3 linked regions of the Drosophila melanogaster genome follow. Changing the gene in region 1 together with any one later gene gives a genetic interaction. Each region holds a gene or a part of one and is shown on either strand. Other genes may lie near its edges.

Region 1 (4,439 bases):
CGGTAGAGTCAAGACCCGTTTAATATGCGAGACATCCACGTCGACTAGAGGACTCTCGCTTGCGCTTAACATTGAAATGGATGGGTGGTGATGGTGGCAAAACGGGAATTGTGCACTCGGTTACTGTGTCACCAATCCAACAGCTGTTGTCTGCACTGCAATAAAATGCCACATCAAAGTAACAAAGTTACAGAATATGTGGAACAACTAATAGGTAACTACAAGTACATGTTAACAGATTATTAACCGGGTTTAATTAGACATCACATGTAGATTTGTATACTGTGCACAAGTCACTCGTCATTTCTTTCAGCGAAGCATTCCTGGCATTCTGATTCAGTCTATTTGCAATTTCGCAATTGCCAGTCGCAGACGGTGATAAGTCGCCCGCTGCTATTTCTTTCCATTTTTTTTTCTTTTGTGGAAATGTTTCCCCGGATGATAAGACCAGAGGTTTGAGGCGAAAGTCCGCCCGCCACCCCCTGATAAAGACCCACGTGCTCCGTACAATCGTTTATTGTGGTGAATTACAAAAAAAAAAAAGCACACAAAATATACGTAAAAAATAATCACTTTCCGCTTAGCGTCTGCAGGTGTTTATCATCTTATTTTTGGGTGGCGCTGTTGCAGGGAAAGATGCCTCACAGTTTCTTCTTCTTCTACGCTCTAGGGTTAATGTGTAGGATATATAATGTAGTATATGTATTGGTTTTAGTTGAACGGGGGGTTTGCGATTCGAATCCACTCCCACTCGCCAGGAGCGGCCCCGTTCAGCGAACAGATAGCCTCTTTAGGAGGTGGTCTCGAAGTACTCCTTGGACTTGGTGGGATCGGCCACCATGGTCTTCTGGCCGGGCTTCCAGTTGGCGGGGCAGACCTCGCCGTACTTGTCGGTGTACTGGAAGGCCTGGACGAGACGCAGGGTCTCCTCCACACTGCGACCTACGGGCAGATCGTTGACGGTGATCTGGCGCAAGTTCTGCTTGTCATCGATGATGAACAGGCCGCGGAAGGGGATGCCAGTCTCCTCATCGAGCACTCCATAGTCGCGGGCCACCTTCATCGACTTGTCAGCCAGCAGTGGAATGTCCATGCTGCCCAGACCACCCTGCTTCCTTGGCGTGTTGATCCAGGCCAAGTGGGTGAACTGGCTGTCCGTGGAGCAACCGATCACCTCGCAATTGATCTTGCGGAACTCGGCGGCGCTCTCCGAGAACGCAATGATCTCGGTGGGGCACACGAAGGTGAAGTCCAGCGGGTAGAAGAAAAGCACCAGGTATTTGCCCTTGTAGTCGCTCAACTTGATGTCCTTGAAAACACCGTTGACGACGGCGGTGCCGGCGAATGCGGGAGCGGGCTTCTGTAGCTGGGGCATCTGTTCAATGAATGGATGGCGAATTAGAGACATGTTTCTTCAAACTAGCGAATAATTAACAACAAAGTGCTCTGAACTTAGTCGCCTTCTTTTGAGAACTTCAATTGTAAATCCCTCATATGGTCCCCTTGAAATCTCGCTGTGACTGATACTTCCTCTTTCGACCGATACGCATCTTATCTTATCTATCAAGATTTTTTGGGCCCCACAAAAAACAAAAATTTCATCACTCTAACCTCGGATTATTACAAGATAACCGTTGTTTAAAAAAATTGCATTTATAGAGGCTAGTGAAATCATGGAAATTAATATGAATAGATACTGTTAAAGTATTATGATGGGAAATCAATATTATGCTAGGCCCTTAGAATGAAAATTGGAAATATTTACGAAATTCTTGAAATTTCTCATATGCAATATACCTATTTTGTAGTAAACTTACTATTTTATAACCTTTAATCTTGCCTATGTAACTTCCAATTGGTTTTCAATTGTAAAGTAGTTAACTTGATGCTAATTCCATACTAAAAGTCTCTATAAATCGGAGTTCTAATGGCGGCAATTACTAACGATTAAGGGCAATTACCCTTGACTTCCAGATATTTCGCCACAAACTGGAAAGATCAAAGAGGAGAGTAGAAAAGCTGAACTCTACAAAATGGCCGCCGAGCGAAGCGAAATGGAAGAAACCCGGAATAATAAATTAGCCAAATTTTTCGACTGCTCCCATTTATGCGATTGAATTTATTGAACTGTCGGCACGTTCGCGTATTTCATGTAATGGATGCGAATTAATTACAAATCACAAACTTATTTCTGAATTGGCAAATATTTTCCTCTAGTTTTGATTTCATTTTTGTGCCCTTTTTTTCGCCGGCTCTTCGCGTGTACGTGTGTGTGTAAGTGTGTGCGACGGACGTGCCAATAAAGTGGAAAAAAAAGAACGAAATGTGAAGAAAAAAACTATGCTCTCGGTGCAAAAAGTTGTGAAATAATCTCGAATCTGCCGACCGAACATGAACATCATTATCTTTTGCTCATCGAAAAAGAACAACAACAGCAACAACAGCGATGCTAATTTCTAATCTTACGCTCCGCAATTTCTCGCCGACTTTGCCCAGAATGAGCGACCTGTTCATCGCCCAAGGAACACTCACTTTAAACAGTTATATTTTTTCTCTTAGTAATTCTCGGTAATTGCTTGACTTCCGCGTGGGCTTCCTCTTGTTCGTTCTCTCGCAGCTTCAGCTTTCGCACAAACAAACCTTTCGGCACGAGTTGAAATTCGCGAATGGATTGAAATTAAGCGAATGCTGGTCGACCAGGGCTGCCGCAACACGGATACCGCTTGCGATAGGCAGCGCCGATTAACGCTGCTCATCGATATTTTTTAGCAAGTGCTTAAAGCGCCATCTATCAACTATTGGCGTGCTTTTCAAAAGTGGATTCTACATTTTAAATGGTAAGTTTTAATATTCAAGTTTTAAGATAGTAGCGCTTAATAACTTTTGATAGACTTGGAAACAAGTACTACTACTAATAATAAATAATGTGTAATAATATGTACTGAGCAGTACTTTTAGTATAATTCGGGCACACCAGCTTAACGGTCACACTGGTCGTCATTTTGCCGCCAAAATGAAAAAACCGCGCTTTTTTTTAATTCTTCCATTATAAATAATGTAGTTAAAGAACTGATTCCTGTTTATAATAACCATTTCTATTCCACTTTGGCGCAAATAATATTTTCTATGTATTATGCTATTCTGTGGTCCACAAATCTCCACAAATAAATTGAAACAAGTACTTTCGTTTTTTCGTTTTGTTTTAACTGAATTTAATAGTGCACAATTAGTAGTATTTAGTAGGTAGTCGCATAACCATTATATTAAAAACTTAGTCTAAGCTCTTGTTGCGTGTTGGGTGTGTTCATTTCTTAGTTACTTTTCGTATCGTTACGATCGACAGTTGCAACTGCCTTGTGGGTATTATCTCCAGCCATTCGGGTATCTCTAGGATTCGCCAAACGTGAATTTTTTTGTTTTTTTTTTTGTTTTGGATAAATAAATTACACTACAGCAGCAGCAGCAGCACATATAGGCCAGGCTATATATCTTCTATATATGTATATGTACGCGTATATCGTATATATTAAAAAATATGTGTATGCATATTGTGATTTCAGTCTTTGATTTTAAACTTAAGGGGTTAAATGTACGCAAACTGTTAGAAAAAAACAAAAAAAAAATGTATAACTAAGCCTAGGAATTGGGGATTAATCGATTCGGAAATTGGAAATGTCTTTGTCTCCGGGGCCCAGCCCCAAACCTCCGTGTGGAAATGTATGGATTTCCCATTAGGGTTTGCTCTCTTCACCCGTCTGCTCCGCTTGATCTCCTCCAGAACCAGAAACGGGTGACTGAATGGCCTCCGCCTGCGCTTGCGCATGCGCCTCCGCCTCCATGGATGCCTGCAGCTCCACAAAGATATCAATGAGATTGTTGATACCGATGAGATAGCCATCTTCGTGGTTGCCCACCTTCCAGGCGGAGTAGTGATCGATCCGCAGCTGCGGCGGCAGCTCCACCGTCTTGGCGAAATCAATTAGCCATATGCTGGCGTGGGTCTGATCGTGGACGAAGAGCAGGGAGCTGCCGATAACCTCGTGGGTCTGGAAGAATTCCGAGACCGCAAGGGTGGCCCTTATGGCTCGCAAACGCTGTATGTAGCGGGGCTGTATGCAAAAAAAAAAAAAGAAAAGAAAATAAAATAAAAAGAAAAGAAAAAGTAATGACAAGCGCAGGGAATCCCCAAGTTAATGGCATTCAACTGGGCATGCTTGGCTAATTTGAATACCCACCAAAATATGTGGGTGACCGCTGAGGAACTCGAGAAAGGCCAACTTGATTTGTTCGCGTGACTTCGTCGTTTTGAAATCTTTGGAACTGGTGCCATCGCTCTTCTTGATGCCCTGCGAATGATGTTTAGACGATTAAATTAATGGCTTTCCATTAACTTTTCTGAATGAATAATTAATGTTTACATTTGACTTTAAGGATAAATG
Region 2 (2,940 bases), on another chromosome or scaffold:
TTCGTTTTGCCTTGTTTATCGGAAAAATCAGTCGAAATTATTGAATTCAGCGTGTCAATGTCGAAGCAAGTTTCATACATATCTAGTTCTTAGTCCACACAATCGAACGATCCGCACCACACACACACAGAAATCGATGGGAGCCATGAGCAGCACCCGAAAAAGGGGCGTGGCCGATGCCCAACATATCTGAATCGAACTTCATTACGTACAGTTAGTTGATATGTAACCTAAGTGCCTATAGTTAAAATAATCGTAAACGAACATTAAAAAAATATATCTATACTTCATAATAACTCGATAAATAATTTTAAGCGAAAATTTAAATTCAATAAATGTTGCTTCAATGTAAAACTAACGTGTTGTCCTTACTTCGAATTACCCGCCAAACCGCATCTGGATTGTTCTATTTTTAACTTCCCTACAATTCCCAAGTGCTTGTTCAATGCTGTGCTTTTATAAATAGCGAAAACCTGCTAGCTTACAATCTCTAGATGATATGATGAAAACTTTACTACCCGAACCATCGTGTGGGCCTTTGCCTCTGGTAAAGGGACGTAATTCTGATTCAGTCAAAAACTGTTTTTGTTTGTTTTTTGAATACAATTTAATGGGTTGTAGTATAAAAATAAACTTTTCTCCTATAATTTAGATTCCAGAACGTTTTTTAACCACCGTGTAAAGTTGATATAAACAACACATTGTCGTTGGGCTGCAGCTCGTAGTCCAGTTCACCCTAGAAGTTGAGTTAATTATAGTTTTTAGAATTCCATATTCTGTACTCTTACTTACCAGCAATTCCCAGTCTGTATCATTTATGAGTACTAAAATTCCAGGTCGCCTGAAAACATACAATAGAAAGTATAGACTATGTATCCCTTATAGTTTAAGCCAAACTTACACAGTATCTCCTTGAAGAAAAAGTTCCGGACGCTCCGTTAAAATATTCGCATGCATCCACTTAAGCAGATTAGCAATAGTCCCTTTAAAATATATATAATTCATAACCGATTTCACTCAAGTTTAAAACATCTTTTAGAACATACATTTTTGTTTACCGTCCAAGTTCAATTCACGGCGTTTTATGTTACCAAATAGTAACTCCGCCCCTGCACTACGAAATTAAATTACAAATTGTCTCATTTATTGGAAATAATAATTCGAACAAGGCTTTATATACCTGAATTCTAATATGATTTTTAATTCCGGCGTGCCCATCATATGTTCGATGTAAATAAATGTGTGACCGCGTCTAAGCTTTTCAAAAAAATCCACCATTCAAAAATAATACCAAATATAGAATCCTAATTTCTAAAAAGTCTGGCAACCACATGCTCTAAACTTCCAAAAATTATTGCATTTTGAAAGAAATTATAATTTGTACGTAAATTTACCTTTACCATTCACCTTCGACGAGGGGACTCAGCATTATAATTATTCCCATTGAGAAACATAAACAGGTGGCATTCCAATGGAACGCTAGGTAAAGTTTTCATTAGCATATTATGATCTGTGCTCTAAGAAGACATTTTACATTTCGTTGTGAATTTATGAAATTAAAAAAAACACGTTATCATAAAGAGCGTTTTTTTTATTGCTTCTCCTCGCTCGTTTTCGACTTTTCAGGATTCGGAGTCAGATCCAGTTTGAAATCGATCGGTTTGTCGTAACCCATTATCTTAACATAGTGCTCGGGATCATCGAAAAGCGCTGGATCCACAAACAGAGGTCGTTTGTTGACCAGAAAAGAGGTGAACATGCCGGGAACCTCCGGAACGACCACATCATTTGGTCGGAAAGTAGTCTAAAAGGTAAATAATATGTACATTGAAGGCAAGCTCTTTTAAATTTGCTCTACCCACCTTGATTTTTTGCAGAAGCAGGGATATTGTGGTGGCCGTGTACTCCTCCGTTAGTGGATTGTAGTGCAGCTCCGTCACGTATTTCTTGGTAATAAAGTGCAGCAGCAGAGGAGTCACAAAGGTGAAGAATCCACCGACGGTGCAGAGGAATACGGCCATTCCAGTTCCTCCGATTTTCATTCCCTGCTCGAGAAGAATGGGCTGGGCGGCCAAGCCGGCTAAGCTGGTGCTCAGCGAAAAGAACTTGACCATTTTCATGCGTGGCGCAAGAGTTCCATAGTAGATCCGCTGCAGTGCATCGTCGGATTCAGTTTTCGTCGACTTCACCGAAAGCCACCTGTTTTGCTGGAAGTTCTGTGGTTGTGACTGCTGTGGTCTTGTCCATGAGGCACTAGTAATGCATCTGCAGTTGTGGGGCAGGGTAATCTGACGGCTGACATTTCCCAGGACAACAGCAAAGTGTTTCCCTTTTGGCAGCATCGCTCGCAGGCCTAACATGGTGTAATTTACTTATTTCAGTAGAAATAAACAGCTGTTTTTGCCGAACGTTAAATAACACGAGTTGCAGTGTGGCCCACACTTGGGCGCTAAAAGAATCCAGAAACGATACGTCTATTCAAAATATACCAACTCTCCTTTTGAATACCGAAACAGGAAACGGCAACATTGCACTGACAACGGAAATTTAAATCGATACTGACTATTTTTACTTATTGATACTAAAAACAAATATTAAAAATTTAAAATCCTAAAATTCTAACATTTCTAAGCTAAAATTAATTTACATTAAACCGACCAATATTACAATCTTATAAGATAAGATTCTCTTTAAAAAATACAAAAATAAAAATTAATAATAATTACACTTGTACTTACCAATTAGGAGCTGATTATTTAACACTTATACATCGATTAAAATTCACTTACACTCACGCTTAAAACGGTAGGAAAGGCGTTTGCAAATATTATTCAAAGTGTTGACCTACTTTAGGATATTGCTGCCAAAAAATTCGATTGTATTTCCCAATGATTTTCCAACCAATTCGGAACAATAGAGCTAGTAATTCGGCAAATATTG
Region 3 (6,194 bases), 5.2 Mb from region 1:
ACTTTATGTGCGTTAGGAATGCACCTTCACCGCTGAGCAGGCAAACCGACAGCTTCGCAGTCTCGCGACCAACTGAAGCCCGAGGAGTCCTGGCAGCGCCATTTAAGCAGCTCCCACTTTTGCTGCCCGCAGGAGTGCGGCCTTGTGGGGAGAGCGGGGGCTGGTTTGCTGCGAGCGGACGGGGCCAGTGGGTCGGTGGGTGGTGGGTGGTGGGTGGTGTTTGGCTGGCTGTTTGGCCGCAGTAAGCCGGCAGCACTTTGTAACGGCGGCGAACAGCTGACTGCAAAAGCTCAGTAAGCAGCTTTTGTCGCAACTTTCGAATGCCACACCTGGCAATGCCGCGCGCAGCGAGCTTTTGCGCTCTCAGTTCTGTTTACGTACGAGCGGGTGAGGCGCAGACAGCGATAGTTTGACAGCTGTCCCGAAACCAGGGCTGCTGCAAAACGTCAGTGGGTAAAGTGCTTGGCACTTATGATACCTCTTAGTTGCCTCAGATGTTTGAATTTCTATTACACTATTATACTACACTATTATACTACACTATTATACTACACTATTATATAAAATAAAATCGATTCTAACATTTTGAGGAACTGAATGAACAACCCTTATGGCTTCTTTAATGACACTCACTGAATTGTGTCGAACTTTGTCTAAAGACAAAATACCTTTATCAAACACTTTTGATGGGAAACACCATCCGATCCGTTCAAACTAAATTTATTGCAGATCAAATGACGCCTCAGAAACGATTCGACGGCCACACGATACCCTCGATATAGTCGAGAAAGGAGGAGACGCGTGTGTAGAGGCCCGGGGTCTTGGTGGCGCAGCCGAAGCCCGAGGAGATTACGCCTACGATCGAGTAGGTGCCGTCGACGTCGTCAATCTCCAGGATGAGAGGTCCACCGGAATCGCCCTGACAGGCGTCCTTTCGCTGATTCTTGTCCGCCGCGCACAGCTGCGAGGCAATCACGCCCCTTCTCAACGTCCGGTTGGCACTCGGCTGTTCCGCAAAGGATGCATTGCACTCGTCGGCCGGCACCAGATCCAGAGCCGCCCGCAGCAGGATCTTTGATACGGCACGATCTGTAAAGACACCATCGAACACAATCCAATCCTGCAGTTTACGCACACACAACTTACTGGTCACATTCATTACACCCCAACCGGCGACGAAATATTTGTAGTTCGCTGGCGGATCACTGCGATCCGTGTAGAGACAGGCGGGACGGATGACATCGGACTCCTTGGCATCCTCGGCCAGCTGCAGAATGGCGATATCGTAGTACTTACTACTGCCGGAATAGTCCGGATGAATTTGAACATCAATCTGCCAATGGAAGTGAGTGAGTTCAACTGGTTATCTCGCACCATGTGTCACATGGCGATACCAACCACATTGATGTCCTGGTAGCCCGGCTCGGGATTTTCGATGTTCAACGCACCCAGACGGACGAAACTGGGTGTGCTATCGTCACTATTGACGCAGTGAGCCGCTGTGAGGACGAATCGACTGGCGATGAGCGATCCACCACATCGGAACGCTGCGCTCCCGAAGGAGTTGTACGCAATGGCCGCCATGTGGGGATAGACGCCCCTATCCACCCGTTCGCCGTCCAGAATGTGCACCGTCAGGGGCTTTCCACCGGATCGGATCTTCTCACACGCTATCATCAGATGATAGGAAATTTAATATATATTGTATATAATATATCTCCAAAGATATTTTCATATAAAATATTCCAAAGAATGCGCAACTCACCTGCCACCGACGGTCGCTCCTTCTCGGGAAGATTGACGCGGGAGGGATTGGGATTGGGCGTCGTTGGCCTGCGAAAGACAAGGTATATCAGCGATTAAAATTGGGCTCACGATGGTTTCCACCTGAGACAGAGACTGCATGCGGCTCCCTGGCTGAGGCCAACTGATGTCCATGCCAAAAGAATGCTCAGACAAACCGCGTCTCGGCTGGATTGAAGATGCTGGGAGCTGGATCCGCGTCTAGATTATTGCTGACATCGTTCCAGGGTTCCTGGGGCTGGGTATCCTTGTCTCTGTCCTGGCCCCGAAATCGGTAGGGTTCAAAGGGATCGATCAATTGCGTGGGCGTGGGTGCGGGTGTGGGCGTGGGCGTGGTTTGCAACACCATGGGCACTTCTCGAGCAGGCTCAATCTGCATTCCCTGCTCCCGCAGCCGATCGTTGACCAAATGTATGAGGTTGTTATTATTGGGGCTTGGATTGGTATTGAAATTGGAATTATTCGGTCTTTGGGGTCGTGATCGAGGCGTGGTCAGTGGACGGTTCACAATCCGTGGCTCACGGCCCCACTCCGGTTCCATAAAAGATCTCTGGGTGCTTGCAATGGGTTGAGTCTTCGAAGGAGCTATGCCCCAAGCTCCAACGCTTTGGATGGGCAACTTCATGGGTTCGTGTGTGGGCAACTTCATTGACTCGTGAGTGGGCATCTTCATGGACTCGTGAGTGGGCGTCTTCATCGACTCCTGTGTGGGCAACTTCAAGGACTCGTGGGTTTTCTGCGGCTTTACTGTGGTGCTTAGCAGCTTGTTGAAGTCAAAGAAGTTCTGATTCTCGTCCAGCCGACTTTCCCGCTCCCTTTTCCCCTCGGTGGTCGTTGGAGGCAGTGGCTCCGGTTCTGGTGTTGGTTCCCGCTTGGGTTCGGGTAAACTGCTGCGCTCGGAGCTCGTAGCATGGAATTGGACCTCACGACCTCGACTGTGGGAGTGAGAGGTGTTAGTCTGGCGTTGGACGCCGGTAACCGGGGCATGCAACATCGGTGGGCACACAGCACAAGCGGGACACACACAAACACATATATATGGTGCACAAACAGGAGGACAAAAAACAGGACAATAGAGCGCAGAGGCCAAGGAGACAAGGACACGCTTACTCAGTGGCACAGCAGGCGACGGTGGGGCAGCAGATGATCTCCTCGCGGGCGCCAAAACCACAACTCGGCACCTGGCTGGTGGACAGCGTGCCCGACTTCAAATATCCTCTGATGTTCTCGCAGGCTGAGGAGGAGAGGCAGATTCCCGGTATGTCCGACCTCACCTGGCAGGGATCGCCCTCTGCAACGAGAAATGCGGCCAGCTGGCAAGGATCTAGTGTACGCGCCGCAAGACATCCTACATACCATCCCCAACTGTTACATACGCAGAAGTTGTCAGCACCAGGAGACCCAGAAGGAAGTACCTTCTCGCCGAGATCATCGCCATCGGTCAGCTGAAATTCCCAAAAGCATTAGTGAATCCCATTCTACTTGGTAACGCTTATCAGCCTTATCAAAACCGAAAATGGAAAACATCATTTTCACAACAGGGGAAGCCCTCGTCGAAATGGTAAGGGAAAAACAAACGAGATCTGTTTCTTTCAATCGACTCGACTTTCAGCTGATTAAACCGATCCACATCCACTGCCATTGACCCATTTACGATTTTTTTTTTTTTTTAATATGGGAACACCACAAAAGCATTCTCCATATGAACTGCTCGATTGTAGTAAGCCAGACTTGATTGATTTCATTTGAGAGACTTTGTGTTGATGGAAAGTTTGTGTTTGCCGATTACGACGAGCATTTCACCAGCAGCGCCGCCAGGTGAGATCAGATGATTCATGGGAGGCATGCCGCTGGGATTTTACCACCGGCTAAAGACGTGTACTGCCAACTGATATCGCAGCTACGTCGGTAATAACCGATACGAAAGTAACACCTGACAATTATGCTGCTCAATTGAGCAGAGAGTCGTCAATGTGTCTGCAGTTCAACTGAATCATATATATCCGATTGAAGCAATGCAAAAGTGTCATGACATCACCTGTTATCGGCCCAAATGAAATTGTATTAAATAGGTATGCGATTGCTAATCAGCTTCCGGCCTTCCGCAGTAATTGCCCATTGTAAACACGACGAAATCAAAAGTAGAACATGCAATACATAGCCCCACATCCCCACATCCCGCAATCCCAATGTCCATTGTCCACTGTTCACTGTACACCGACGTCCGCCTTATCGAACGCACCTTTGACACGACCTTTTTTCGGTCTCTGATAAGGGAGTAGTACGTCTACGTATCGATGTCGTTTATTGAGTGCGTCGAGCACTGTGGTGACTATGGCAATCGGGCACCGCACAATACAATACAATTTAATTCAATACCACATAAACAAAACAAAATCCAAGGGAATTACGAAAAAAAAAAATAAAAAATAAAGAAAAAAACACCGCAAAAAGCACACCAGCAGAGTCAATAAAGCTAAAAACCGGTGGCTATCACAAATCGCGGCGGTATGGAATCTGCTGGCTATTTTCCCGGCTCTGACCGCTCAGCAACGCATCGCCCAAGCAACTGAAGCCAAGCTTCTGAGCCCCAGCTGGAGCTGGAGCTGGAACCGATGAGGCCCATTTAGACGTCGACCAAGAAGCGCCGGACCCAGCAGCTGATAGCACCCAGAGCCGATCCTCTCCCGCTGAGCGGCGAACCGGTTTCCCATTCCACCACTTCGCAGAATCGCAGAACGATCCGAAGCGATCAGAAGCCAGAGCACACAAAGCACAAAGGCAGCCTGTAATTAGCGAGTGGGTAAGCAACAGGCGAGCGGTATGGACTAAAGGATACCGCGTAAGGTCTATGCTGCGCTTGGTGACCCCGATATTTACACCTTTAAAAGTCGAGTATAATTGTGTCACAGAATCGTGTTTTAGAACTTACCATATATATAGTTTCAATTGCAGTAATCTTGTTTTTTTTTTTTTTGTATAATTCTTCTCTAATTAAAGTGGTGACCCAGATACTTACTTTCTTGCCTAGGTTGCGACCTAGGTGGTGACCCAAGAAGTCCTTTTCAACTTATAGTCTGAAACATATGCTTAAAATTTAAATTTCTTATGACAAATCTTTCTGAAATAAATGCATTCTGTTTGTATTTCCCCATTTTTTTTATACAGTGCAGCAATTCAATAAAAGTGGTGACCCAGAAATCCCTCTAAAATTAAACAGAACCAGAAAAATCACTTCACAGAGTTCTGGAAACCGAACTGCCAGAAATAATATTGTACCGATTGATTATATCTTAAAACGTATCTACTTTATTGGTATTAAATGGTTCGATCGCGGTGCTCATAGAGATCACAGATGAGTGTTTGCCAATTGCGATGGATCAGGCAGTCCTGATCCCAAATAGAAATAATATACATACAAAAAAAACAAAAACTTTACTTTTCCCAACTTTACACCCGATTGTCCGGCCAGACAATGCCCTCGATAAAGTCCAGATAGGACGAGACACGCGTATAGAGTCCCGGTGTGACGGTGGCGCATCCGAATCCCGACGAGATGACGCCCATGATGGTGTACATGCCGTCCTCCACGTTGAGCTCATGAATGAGCGGCCCACCGGAGTCGCCCTTGCATGCGTCGGCGATGAGCTTTTGATCAATGGCGCACAGCAACGAATCGATCACGCCCTGCTTGAGCAACCTTATGGAACCGGGCTGCTCCGCATAGGATATATTGCATTGGTCCAGAGGCACCAGCTCCAGACCAGCGCGCAACAGGATCTTAGATCGCGCCCGAGCTGCGGATGGTTAGCCATTAGTGGAAGTGGAGGATATGGAACTTTTTGTGCTACCCACTGGTTACATTTAGGACGCCCCAACCGGCGACAAAGAACTTGGAGTTCGATGGCGGATCGGTGGCATCCGTATGGAGACAAGCGGGCCGGATGTTATCCGTCTCGACGACATCACGTTCCAGTTCCAAAATGGCGATATCGTTGTACTTATTGCCCACATACTGCGGATGGATCTTAACGCTTCGCTGAGATATGGTATCGATCAGAATGGCTATAACTTAATGCATAAGCACAGTGACTCACTATGACGATATCCTGGTAGGAATGGTCTGGATTTTCAATGTTCACAGCTCCCAAGCGAACAAAGGCCGGCGTATTGGCATCGGTGTTGACACAATGTGCGGCGGTCAGGACGAAGCGACTGGCGATTAGCGATCCGCCGCATCGGAAATCGGTGCCAAAAGTGATGTAACCAATGGCCGCCATATGGGGATATACACCCGGATCAACCGGATAACCGCCCACGATGTGTATGACCAATTGATTGCCGCTCCTCTGCTGTTTTCGCTCGCGAATCTTCTTGCAGGCTATATCGTG

Evidence for each region. A genetic interaction does not mean that the proteins touch.
Region 2: of Prx2 (region 1) and Urm1, changing one suppresses a phenotype caused by changing the other (phenotypic suppression), as found in Drosophila melanogaster (one study listed by BioGRID).
Region 3: of Prx2 (region 1) and Hayan, changing one suppresses a phenotype caused by changing the other (phenotypic suppression), as found in Drosophila melanogaster (one study listed by BioGRID).

Annotation. Positions count from the first base shown.
Region 1 is NC_004354.4:13,328,058-13,332,496, reverse strand, and holds Prx2 (peroxiredoxin 2), read right to left. Parts: upstream 2,674-4,439; 5' UTR 2,533-2,673; exon of another isoform or gene 2,467-2,532; intron 2,099-2,466; exon of another isoform or gene 1,818-2,098; intron 1,479-1,817; exon of another isoform or gene 1,376-1,478; coding exon 791-1,375; 3' UTR 503-790; downstream 1-502. Other genes in the region: IP3K2 (inositol 1,4,5-triphosphate kinase 2), read right to left, coding at 3,732-4,109, 4,236-4,346. UniProt on the Drosophila melanogaster protein: Thiol-specific peroxidase that catalyzes the reduction of hydrogen peroxide and organic hydroperoxides to water and alcohols, respectively.
Region 2 is NT_037436.4:7,639,224-7,642,163, forward strand, and holds Urm1 (Ubiquitin-related modifier 1), read right to left. Parts: upstream 1,224-2,940; 5' UTR 1,219-1,223; coding exon 1,181-1,218; intron 1,115-1,180; coding exon 1,047-1,114; intron 984-1,046; coding exon 902-983; intron 842-901; coding exon 793-841; intron 737-792; coding exon 668-736; 3' UTR 588-667; downstream 1-587. Other genes in the region: CG7506 (uncharacterized protein), read right to left, coding at 1,592-1,804, 1,863-2,360.
Region 3 is NC_004354.4:18,479,396-18,485,589, forward strand, and holds Hayan (hayan), read right to left. Parts: upstream 4,378-6,194; 5' UTR 4,046-4,377; intron 3,249-4,045; 5' UTR 3,242-3,248; coding exon 3,160-3,241; intron 3,095-3,159; coding exon 2,914-3,094; intron 2,739-2,913; coding exon 1,962-2,738; intron 1,834-1,961; coding exon 1,766-1,833; intron 1,738-1,765; exon of another isoform or gene 1,671-1,737; coding exon 1,399-1,670; exon of another isoform or gene 1,334-1,398; coding exon 1,147-1,333; exon of another isoform or gene 1,090-1,146; coding exon 743-1,089; 3' UTR 588-742; downstream 1-587. Other genes in the region: psh (persephone), read right to left, coding at 5,254-5,600, 5,659-5,842, 5,901-6,184. UniProt on the Drosophila melanogaster protein: Serine protease which, by converting prophenoloxidase 1 (PPO1) into its active form, plays an essential role in the melanization immune response to physical or septic wounding.